Linked DNA regions of Schizosaccharomyces pombe. Changing the gene in region 1 together with any one later gene gives a genetic interaction. Each region holds a gene or a part of one and is shown in the gene's direction. Other genes may lie near its edges. The genes, in order: atg8, lys3 and arg1.

Region 1 (3,527 bases):
GAAATATGCTTACCTGGTAATTTCGATGTAATCTTATTCTGGAAGCGGTTCGCAGAATCCGACATCGAATGCAGTGATTTTTTTGTTGAGTCAAACATTACGATTAGTTTGAAATTGATTTCTCACAATTGACGCAAAAACCGATTTTACCCAAATGTTTGCGGTGGACAGCTTCCGACTCTCGAAATTCCTTAAGTCCGCTTTTCTAAGAGCCCATAGGGTAAACAACTACACAACGTGCTAGTAATATCAGCCAGCTGATAGGAAAAAATAATGTCTTTGAGTTCTTTTTGATAAAACATAACAAAATAGTAAGCAGCTAATAAGCTTCGCGTTTGTTGTCAATACTTACTATCAGAATTGCAGCATTGCTATTACGCTTGCTAAATTGGATAATATACGTAGAGTTCTATATTCATTCAATTGAAAACTTGTTAAAATCGCATTCTTTATGCGTATATTAGTTATACAACTATGGCTGTCAGAAAATGCAAACAAACTACCACAAGAAGTGATCCTTCCAATGATAAACGTTTATGTTAACAGAATGTAAAATCATTGCTTTTCAAGTAAATCTTATAAACACTAGATGTTGATGACTTTCATAAATAGAAAGTAGGGATTACAATTCATCTGTTCCGTCATCTTCAACATTTTCTTGAGACAACTGCCCAGATTTGATAATTTTTACATCTTCAAGAGGCTTATCACGGTTGTCAGTCTCAGCTTTGGAAATTTTCTTGACAATATCGTAACCAGAAAGGACTGATAAAATTAGTATTAGCAAACAAAAAAAAGGAAAAAGAAAACAAATAGTCACTTTTATAAAACATATACAACTACAATATGAATTCTTACCTTCACCAAAAACAACATGGTGTCCATCTAACCAAGGTGTTTTAACTGTAGTAATGAAAAACTGAGATCCATTGGAATCGGGTCCAGCGTTAGCCATGCTAAGCAAACCGGGACGTTGGTGAGAAAGCTTAAAGTTTTCATCAGGAAAACGGCTGCCATAAATTGATTTTCCACCAGTACCATCACCCTTCGTAATATCACCACCTTGAATCATGAAATTGGGAATAACGCGATGGAAAATAGATCCTTCATATCCAAATCCCTTTTCTCCGGTGGCTAATGCGCGGAAATTTTCGGCTGTTTTGGGAACAGTTTTACCAAACAATCCAATGGTAACTCTTCCAAGGAACTCATCACCTTGTTGCAAGTCGAAATACACTGTGTCTGTAACTTTGGGGCCACGGTTGGCAGAGATAAGCCCAAAGAAAAGAGTAAAAAGTAAAGAGAAATAGAACAACTTCATTTTTGTTTTCACAAACTAAAAGCTTCGTTGTGTGGTAAAGGATAAATAAATAGTTATGGTGGGGTTTAATAGCAAGACTCGCTAGATTTTGGTTGCTGTAGCAACTTTTAGCACAATGTTAAGCAAATAATTCAAGAAGCGCTTATTTGTTTACATCAAACACTACTATTTTTCTAATGGTTTGATTATTTAATGAAAGATAGAAATAGTAATTATTTGCAAAATTCTATTTCCTAACCTTTTTTGGAAGGTATTTACGTGTTAAGCGTGCTATTATTTATTTACACAACGTCTTTATTTCCATTCTTGCTTTTCTTCCTAAAAGAGTTGTGACTTTTGTTGTACCAAGGATTGAGTATATACCAATTATGGCTATCATACTATAAAGAAGTAGTAAAAATTCCTTTTGATTGTGTACTGCTTAAGATTCGTAAAGTATTTATTTATTACGAAATAAGGTAACTTATCATAGTATCATAAGATTGCTTCATATCTCTGTATACGTTACCCAAGGGTACGCTTATTTATCCAAGACCGTATACCACATAACTCACGCACCGTTTACAAAGAACACCGAATTTTGAAGCAATTGAAGAGAGGAGTTACTACTTCAAGCAAGAAGTTTGAGAGTTCTCATGCGTTCTCAATTCAAGGACGACTTTTCTTTTGGTATGTGTCAAAAACTTATAGAAGTTGTTTTTTGGACAGCATTGTAGAATACCTGGAACTAGTAGGCTAATTAATAATCAGAGAAACGAAAAACAGAGTCTCAAAGAATCCGGGAAAAATATCCCGATCGAATACCTGTAAGTAGAGTCTGGTGGTCAAAGAGAACAGGTTTCAGAGCAAAATAGTGGTGAATTGAACAACACCCATTGTTTTTGTCATCAAAAGTGAATCCATTGTTACAAGTCTGACCTTTTTCTTTCAAAAATACAAATTACGTTTTAAACTTAACTGCTAACTTAACAGGTTATTTGCGAGAAAGTTGATAAATCTGATATTGCTGCAATAGATAAAAAGAAATATCTCGTTCCATCTGACCTTACAGTTGGTCAATTTGTATATGTTATTCGCAAACGGATAAAACTTTCTCCTGAGAAGGCCATCTTTATTTTCATTGATGAAATCTTGCCCCCGACAGCGGCCTTGATGTCAACGATATACGAAGAGCATAAAAGTGAGGACGGCTTTTTGTATATCACGTATTCAGGAGAAAATACATTTGGAACAGTGTTTCCTTTTTAGATCAACAATTTGCCTGTTTTAAGATGGCCCCGCCTTCTTTTAATTGTGATCAGCAAAATTGTTTGTGGACAATGGTTGAATGATTCTTTATGTTTTTTTTACTCTGCATTTCTAGCTTTTTAGCTTTCAAGTTTCTTTGCTTTTGCATTATGATTATTTTACGCGCGTCTTATACATATCATTCTCAGGTTAGCCACCACGATTTTAAGGATGTTTCAGATTTGTCTTACAATAGATGTGATGAACGCTTATGACTAGTTTGCTTTGACAACAAAGTTATTTTACCTTGTTAATTAATAAAAACCATCAATTAAAAAAATTGATTTTGATTTTCTAATAATATTAAAATGTTGATAAATAATAAGTAGATATATATCATCAGCTGATTCTATCCTTTTTTACATTAACTGGTTGTCATAATAGCGAATACTATTCACATGCCCCAAAAAATTGGTCAATCGTAAACTTTCATAATTCAAGCAACAAGTGTTATAACTATATTTCAAAATAAAGCCCACTCCTGCATTTCAAAAATTTCAGTAGCATTTCATCACTGAGAATGCTCCATCTTTATCGATGGGCGGCACCTGTTGATAATAAAACTAATTTCTTCTTTTTTTTGTTTTTTGAGTTTTTGGAAGGTGCAGATAATTGAGCAACTTTGTCCCAGTCAACTTTCCAACCATCAAGATCGTCTTGATCATCGGTGTCATTTTGAATATTGGCAAGAGCTCTTGTTCCCCAAACAGTCTTTGCAGTAGATAAGGTAGACTCATCTGTATTAACCTCATCGGTAGATTCAAATTGATGATGACTTCCCAATGTGGGGAATGCTTCAGCAGGGTCCTCATGCACTACGGTTTTTGGCACAGGTCTCTGCATATTTAACTCGGAGTATATCTGTTCCTCTGTATCACGTTCAGCCCGTTGTCGATACCTTTCTTCTCTCATTTCTTGA
Region 2 (4,066 bases), on another chromosome or scaffold:
GCAGAAAAAACCAAAAAAAAAAAAAAACTTTACTTACTTAATTGCTAAAACCTCTGCCAGCCAAAAAGGAAGTTCAACTTTAGAGCCCGTAGGAACCTAAACTGTTTAGAAAGTCAAGTTCTATTTTTATAAACTTCACTAACCATACGCCCTTCATGGCCTAGTCCTGGAATGGAAACTGTACTAGTACATGGAACCTTTTGATTTTCAGACAAGATACTATCAATATCATAGTAATCCATTTTTTTAATGTCTGAGCAGAAGGAATGATAGAAGTGTTATTGTTATTTTATCAAAATATGTTCATTTAGAAAAGTTGCAGTTACAAGGTAAAAGTAGGTAGATGCAACGATAAATTCAAATTTGAGTTGGCTAAGATATAGTGGATAAATAATGAACTGTAATTACACCAGTACTAATCAACAAAAAAAATAGAGATAAAAAAGATTTATTTTTACTTTTCTTAACAGAGCATCTAGTTCAAAAAATTAGTGCTGATAAATATTGTATGTTCGAGTACTAAAAATTTGCTTCAATGTTTAACTCGAAAAGTATGTCATACATGTGTATATTCGTCCTTCTGAAATTGGTCGAAAAATTTTATTAAAAAAAGGAAACTTTGTTCTATAGTTTCATTAAAGAAACGCATATGCTTGTTTGAATGTTATACCTATTTATGAAACTTGCTCATTATGCGATCAAAATTTACACAATCTTTCCGTAAAACTGATTTTTTTAAATGATTTTTAGTCCGTAATCTACAAAACATGATTGCATTGTATTCAAAATTATTTTGCGTATTAATTATTTAGTATGTCATTTCCAAATGCAAAAAGGTTTTAACACCGACATAGGCCAAATTTCATAAGTTATTCGCCAAGTTTCATCAACAGGTTCATCAAGTCATATACGCTTTAATCCATACTTTAGATGTCAACACCTTCGAGTTTATCAGCAATCTTTACCTGAGTAAATAATCAACCTGCTGCCAAACAATGTTGTAAAATCAAAGCAACAATTTGTTGTTCGTTTAATTAGTTACTCATAAAATTAAAGAGAACTCAGAGTTTACTTGGAAGGTAAATTAAATAGAAGTACCCCGCCAACTATAAACAATTAGTTTCAAAGGTTAAGCAGACTAGGATATACAGGAACTTTACATCCAAGACATCATCAAATATGCTATTCCCCCAATGTTATACGCAACAAATGGATGCCTTCGTAAGAATTGATATCGACGTTTGGTGAACACAGCACGAAACGTTAAAAACTTATTCACTACTTTTTGGAGAAGTACGCATCTTCCAAATGTCTTCACTATTCGGCCCTTGCCTAAACTTCATCCACTGCTGAAGACGCCGCTTACGAAGCCCTTCTTGAGCCTCTTCGTGAGCCTTCGACTTGGTTGACAGACACCATTTAAAGTCTTTAAAATTTCCCTTACATCTGTTGTATTCACCATAACGATAGTAATGATTCATTTGTGAGAACACTGTTAAACACATGGCCATTTGGTCAAAGTAATACTGTAAACTACACGGATCCTCAGGAATCCCTTTTTTCAAGTCGAGTATTTTATCTAGTTCCGCATACTGACCAAAAGTGCTTTTTTCATCATTTTCTTTAAAATTATTCATTATTTAAAAGCATACTAGTAAAAATCAAGTGAATTGTGCCTAGGATAGGTAGCTAACGTGACTGCCACTGAACCTGTGTAGCGTATTAGATCCATCAAGATCCCTTCTGCTCATATCATTGCTGATCTGTAAATTGACCGCATCAAATTTGATCTCATTTATATCGAGATTGATCTATATTATTTTGCCAATTTGCAGTATATAAACTTATTTGATTAAGTTTTTGGTCTCCTTCGCCACGTCTTCATTTTGTTAGTTTAAATTTTTTTGACTAACTTAGAAAGGGAAGTTTTTAAAAACGTTGAAATACTTTTTCGATTTAAAAATATATATTTAATTAATTTTCTGTTCCAAAATGGTTGCTCCTCATCTTTGGTTACGTGCTGAAACCAAACCTTTAGAAGAGCGCAGTGCTTTGACTCCTAGAACTGCCAAGATACTCGCCGATGCTGGATTTCAAATTACCATTGAGCGCTCTTCCCAACGTGCTTTCAAGGACAAAGAATTTGAGCGCCTTGGTTTCCCCATGGTTCCTGAGGGCTCATGGCGACATGCACCTAAGGACGCGTACATTATTGGTCTCAAAGAGCTTCCGGAAAATGATAACAGTCCTTTGAAGCATACTCATATTCAATTTGCTCATTGCTACAAAAACCAGGAAGGTTGGCGTGAAGTCTTGTCCCGATTCCCCGCTGGCAATGGTCTTCTATATGATTTGGAATTTTTGCAAGATGACAATGGCAGACGTGTTGCCGCTTTTGGTTACCACGCTGGTTTTGCTGGATCAGCTATCTCATGTTTAGTTTGGGCACATCAATTATTGCATCCTAACAAACAATTCCCTGCTATCCGTCCGTTCCCCAACGAAAAATCTTTGGTTCGCCATGTTGCTCGTCAAGTACGTTTAGCTTTGAAAAAGAATAACAACCAGTATCCTCGTATTCTGGTTATTGGGGCTCTTGGTCGTTGTGGTACTGGAGCGTGCGATTTAGCATCAAAGATTGGTATTCCCTTCGATAACATTCTTCGCTGGGACATTAATGAAACTAAGAAGGGTGGTCCCTTTACCGAAATTACGGAATCAGACATATTTGTTAACTGCATTTATCTGAGCATGCCTATTCCCAAATTCTGTACCGTCGAGTCGTTAAATGTACCTAACCGTAAATTGCGTGTTGTTTGTGATGTTAGCTGTGACACTACCAATCCTAACAATCCTATTCCAATTTATAATGTAAACACTACATTTGATCATCCTACAGTTGAGGTTAAAGGTGTCACAACTCCTCCTCCTTTAGAGGTCATTTCTATTGATCATCTTCCTACTTTATTGCCAAGGGAATCTTCCGAAGCATTTAGTGAAGCTCTAATTCCTAGTCTTTTGGCTTTGAAGGACGTCGACAATGCTCCCGTTTGGGTCAGAGCTAAAAAACTTTATGAAACCATGGTTCAAAAGCTTTAAAATAAATGTTATTTAATTTCAAAGTTCCGGGTCCTTTATATTGTTTCACCAAATTATTGAATATTATTTTCTCAAAAATTAACTTTAGAATACAATTTAGACGGCATTTTCGATGCTCTGGACATTTTTTCCACGTACTTGTTAAATTGTAGCGGTGTTGCATAATACTACCTTTTGATTTGTTATTCACGTTACAATATATATTTGACTAATTTAAATATGATAATATACACATTTCTCTGCAAACCTCCTTTATACTTTTCGCCGGTCATTGATTAATAATTAAGAAACAGGATTTCATCCTGCATTTGCCACTTACCTATATGGTAAATATAAATCTTGAAACTTTCCCCAATATTTATTGCTTGCCTTACGAAGTTAAATTATAGGCACAGACATCTTTGGCATTGGAAAGATTTAGTAACAATCATAATGTAGCACTTCTTAAAAAATCTAATTTTAGAACAAAAAGGCTTAAAAAAGAATGGTTCCGCTCTTTTAAAAAATAGTAAAATGTACAATAGCAAGGTTTTCGTAGGTCGACGGACATAACAAGGGGAAAGAGAAATAAAGCATGTAAACGTCAATAAAACATCTTTGATTCTGGATCAATCATATGCCAAATGAAGAAAAATAGCATTTATAACAACATGAAACCATATTTGAGACCTTTTAACGATGAAAATTTATTAAATAAAAGATAAAAAAGAAAGAAACCGTTCAAGTTCAATGAAAATTTCGTCGTGAAGTAGAAACCAAGATAATGGAAAGGCTTCGCAAAGCCACAAATTTTCCAATAGTCATTATAACTGAAGATTAAGGACAGTACTAACATCTGGAACACGAGCAAGATGTTCAAGAAATGGAATTAAATCGATTAATTCCATATCGTGCATATCGTTGAACCATGAAGATATTGGAACAGCATGCGAAGGATGAAATATGTAACTTGAAGGTGAATTGTCTA
Region 3 (4,332 bases), on another chromosome or scaffold:
GTCTGCTTCACGAAGACCAACGAGCCTCAGCAAATGACCATACTCAGTTAAGCCAATTGGTTTGGGTGGATTTCCTTGGAGAATTCGTTTAAGTGAAACCTTTGAAGGTTTCAAAAATGGCATAGTGAAAAGGAAAATAGAGCTAATTACAAGAGAAAAATATAGTACAGGTTAAAAAAAAGATTCAATCTTAAACACTTTGTAAGTTTTTCAAATGCTTTGAAACAGCTGTCGAAGTTGTAGTCGGTTCCTACAATTTAACGACTAGGTTGTAAGTCTGGGTTTTTTTAGAATTAATAGTAAAGGAATATATTAAATCATTCGGTAAGTAAAGTCAATATAATCAGCTTCTCTAATTAGGAGAACTATTTTTCATTACTATGATAACCGTTTCCCATTCCCTAAATTTACGACATCCTGCGATGTCTGTATATAACTTTACATAGCAGTGTTCCAGTACGTAATATTGTTGAATGCTTGCGTAGAGTAACGACTTTATTAAAATTGGTTATTGCAATTGAATAAGGTAATATAAAATGCCACATTATTAGCACTTTAGGTGTCTACATGTTTCGCTATTTTTTAATGATGTATGAGAGTATTGTTTATACCCAAAATTGTAAGCGCATTTTCCATCCTTCTGCCTATTACAAGAATCGCGTAAATCATGAGAAAAATTTGGGAATTAAAAAAGAAAGAAGCTCAAAAAGAGAAAAATGCGTCAGGGATTAGTCCAGCACAAATCCGAATCCAAAAAGGTGCGACTCATCATGTTGATAACTTTTCGCGATTTACTCGAAACTAACCATTTTCGATGAATTTAGACGTTACAGATTTAGAAATCCCATCTACGATGTCTACAAGCTGGCCAGATCCTATAAAATTGAACGTGCTACATTTAGAAATCCGGCCTGACGAAGGTAAGTTTGTGATTCCGCATGAAAGAATATTTGGTGTAGACTTTTTGAGACTATTATTTTTTATTTTGATTAACATGAAAAGGGTATTACAAGGGTGGGAAATTTAAATTTCGAATCCAAATCGACGATAATTATCCTCATGATCCTCCTAAGGTTAAATGTCTAAACAAAGTATGTCAGTCATGCTCTAAATTAGAGTTGCAGCTTATGGTATATTTTTTGCATTTAAGAAAATAACCATTATAACATGTTTTGAACCCTTTCGTTCTGACCTACTGTTAGATCTATCACCCAAATATCGATATTGAGGGAAACGTATGCCTCAATATTCTGCGTCAGGATTGGAATCCAGTGTTGAATTTGAATTCTATTTTGGTTGGATTGCAATTTTTATTCTTGTCACCAAACGCAGAAGATCCACTCAACAAAGGTAGGTTAATTACAATTTTTTGGGGGGCAATGAACTATTTCTTGTTATTGCATTACAAGGAAATGATTATTCATCTCTTAACTATCATTTGATACTCATTTTTTCTACGATCCTTTATTATGGGATTTATAAGGTTCTTTACTGAGGACAATGATTATGATAAGCAATTTTAATATAAGAAATCTGGTTTGCTCCTTAACAAATTTTCTAGATTTATTTAACTATACTAACAAACGATATCTTTTAGAGGCGGCGGCTGATTTGCATAAAGACCCTCAAGGATTTGCATCTCGTGTGCGTACAGCCATGAAAGGTGGTCTTGTGAATGGAATTTCTTTTGACAATGTCATGGCTTAATTTTTCATCAATCTAAATCAATTCGATAAAGATAACCGACATAGATTAGACGACTGTCATGAAAATATTGATGTGTTTTAAATCTCGCTAAATCAGTCACGATTACGATGAACTTCCGATATCAGTATAAAAACACATAACCAGAACCAAACCCCCCTAATAAGCCCGTAACTGCTTTACAATGTTTCAAAGACGATCACTTCTCTCTGTTCGTTCGTCTGGTTCCCAAATCGCCTTTCGTCGATTTGTCAGCGTAAGTACAAGTTTGTTGATAGAGTATGCATTGTAAGTGCAACTGAACATACGATGGCAAATAATTAGACTATCATCTAATTCTGATTGTTTTCGAGAATTCTGTACTTTGCTCTTGTTTTTAGACAAGTATTGATGTTGAGAATGCTTCTTACTGACCCAACAAAATAAATCTTCATTTGTGCTTTCATACTGCCTCATACAGTACTAATTTTAATATTTCTTAAACTGCTTATTAACCAAGTTTAGCTTACCCACAAAGATCCAACTCCTGATACAACCAGTTGCAATATTATCAAGAAGGAAGGGGCGAATATTATATCAGTTTATGCACGCTATCCAGTCGTAGCTGCTAAAGGTGAGGGCTCCTATTTGTTTGACAAGGAAGGTCGTAAATACATTGACTTCACCTCTGGCGTAGCTGTTACATCTTTGGGTCATGCTCATCCTGAAGTTGCTAGACTTGCCGCTGATCAATGCTCCAAATTAGTCCATAGTAGCAACCTTTTCTACAACGAGCCTGCCATTGAGCTATCTAATGTCATTAATAATTCTTTGGCAAAAAATAGCGGTATTGCTGGCCCCACAAAAATTTTCTTTGCCAATTGTGGTACTGAGGCCAATGAGACAGCCTTGAAGTTCGCTCGTAAGGCAGCGTTTGAGAAGTATGGAGAAGGGAAGAGTCAAATTGTTTACTTTAATAACTCTTTCCACGGCCGTTCTTTGGGATCTCTTAGTATCACTGCGAACCCCAAATATAAACGTGGTTTCCAACCATTACTTCCTGATGTCGTCCAAGCCGTCTATAATGACCCTGCATCCATAGAGCAATTTGTCAATGACAAAACTGCGGCTGTTATTGTCGAGCCCGTTCAAGGTGAAGGTGGTATTTGTCCTGCCAAGCCTGAATTTTTGATTGCTTTGCGCAAGGCCTGTGATAAGGTTGGTGCTTCTTTAATCTATGATGAAATTCAATGCGGACTTGGTCGCAGCGGTGATCTTTGGGCCCATAGTATCGTTAAGGATGTCGCTAGTCCCGATATTATCACAGTTGCCAAACCTTTGGCTAATGGTCTACCTATCGGCGCCACCATTGTCTCCAGTAAGATCGCTGCTGAAATTCACCCTGGTGAACATGGCAGTACTTTCGGAGGTAATCCTGTTGCTTGCCGTGTAGGCACATTCTGTGTTAATGAATTAGGGTCATCCAAGATTCTACAAAACGTTAGAAAGCAACACAAGGCTCTTACTTCACGTTTTGATGACTTTGTTGCCAAATACCCTAATCTTATTCGTGGATATGCTGGTCGTGGTCTTCTTCTTGGTTTGCAATTTACCGAGCCCCCTGCTAAATTTATTGAGCTTGCTCGTCAACAAGGTCTTTTACTCTTACCAGGTGGAAACAACAACACCCGTGTCCTTCCTAGTTTGAATGTTAAAGATGAGGTTATTGCTAAGGGTTTGGATATCATGGAGAGCACTTTGAAGGCTTTAAGTAAGTAAAAGTGTATGTTTTCGTAGACTTGGTCATTGAATGGATTGGTTATATAGTGCGATAAAAAGTGATTATTACGAGAAATCTTGTTCCTCGAAAACATATATTAACCTTGCTCTCATTTGCCAACCAAAAAATTTTTTGATAGGGGGGTTACGAAAAGCTTAGCTGGAAGCTTTACATTGTAAATACTGGTTTTCGTTATTCCCTTTCTTTTCATAATCAATTTTGTTTACATTTTTTGTTAGAAAATTAGATATATATTGTTGTTTTTCATCTACTAAACTGAATTGTCGTAATATGTACCGTAAATACTCTGTCAAATGATAGTAATTCACAAAATCAATGTTTTTTTACTGCGTTTTCTATTACTAACTTTTAAAAAGTTATATAGCAAATAACATTCCATGTTTTCTTTTAGCATTAACTATTTTTTTCTTTGGCATACAATTATTATATCAACATGCTATTCATTCAATTCACATTAGAACGATATCGTTATAAGGAATTCTTAATCAATTTTTCGTTTCTATATTTTATCTTAATTTAAGGCGCACATCGATACTTTAGCAAAATACCACCATATTCAAAAATAAACAAAATTTTTTATCTTTCTAAAAAATATCATTTTTTTAAGTAAGTTTAATCATTTTATAATGATTGAACAATGAATATCATCTCATGCTTATTTTGAAGAATCGCATTTCGCGTAACTAAAAGCAAATTTCTTGGATACCCTCAGTACATTTCCAAAAATATTACTAAAGATGGTAGGGAGGGGATCTTTTTCATCTACCTCGAGCGCCTCATCCATTAATTGGATTCCAAAAAACACTAAAACTAGCATTGAAAGTGTTTCTAACACTATTTCGTTGTCG

The links.
Region 2: mutations in atg8 (region 1) and lys3 impair growth when combined (synthetic growth defect), as found in Schizosaccharomyces pombe (one study listed by BioGRID).
Region 3: mutations in atg8 (region 1) and arg1 impair growth when combined (synthetic growth defect), as found in Schizosaccharomyces pombe (one study listed by BioGRID).

Annotation. Positions count from the first base shown.
Region 1 is NC_003423.3:3,683,695-3,687,221, reverse strand, and holds atg8 (autophagy-associated protein Atg8), read left to right. Parts: upstream 1-1,851; 5' UTR 1,852-1,956; coding exon 1,957-1,990; exon of another isoform or gene 1,991-2,071; coding exon 2,072-2,127; exon of another isoform or gene 2,128-2,293; coding exon 2,294-2,569; 3' UTR 2,570-2,941; downstream 2,942-3,527. Other genes in the region: SPOM_SPBP8B7.26 (uncharacterized protein), read right to left, coding at 14-98; cyclophilin family peptidyl-prolyl cis-trans isomerase Cyp4, read right to left, coding at 623-765, 859-1,321; rnf10 (ubiquitin-protein ligase E3), read right to left, coding at 3,140-3,527. UniProt on the Schizosaccharomyces pombe protein: Ubiquitin-like modifier involved in autophagosome formation. With atg4, mediates the delivery of the autophagosomes to the vacuole via the microtubule cytoskeleton.
Region 2 is NC_003424.3:528,530-532,595, forward strand, and holds lys3 (saccharopine dehydrogenase Lys3), read left to right. Parts: upstream 1-1,749; 5' UTR 1,750-1,992; coding exon 1,993-3,099; 3' UTR 3,100-3,452; downstream 3,453-4,066. Other genes in the region: GINS complex subunit Psf3, read right to left, coding at 38-96, 144-242; SPOM_SPAC227.17C (uncharacterized protein), read right to left, coding at 1,272-1,637; NLI-interacting factor-like phosphatase Psr1, read right to left, coding at 3,903-4,066. UniProt on the Schizosaccharomyces pombe protein: Catalyzes the NAD(+)-dependent cleavage of saccharopine to L-lysine and 2-oxoglutarate, the final step in the alpha-aminoadipate (AAA) pathway for lysin biosynthesis.
Region 3 is NC_003421.2:1,612,454-1,616,785, reverse strand, and holds arg1 (acetylornithine aminotransferase), read left to right. Parts: upstream 1-1,849; 5' UTR 1,850-1,888; coding exon 1,889-1,960; exon of another isoform or gene 1,961-1,988; intron 1,989-2,208; coding exon 2,209-3,462; 3' UTR 3,463-3,739; downstream 3,740-4,332. Other genes in the region: protein Gta3, read right to left, coding at 1-123; NEDD8-conjugating enzyme Ubc12, read left to right, coding at 668-758, 825-920, 1,003-1,091, 1,203-1,350, 1,598-1,707; Protor homolog, Bit61, read left to right, coding at 4,222-4,332.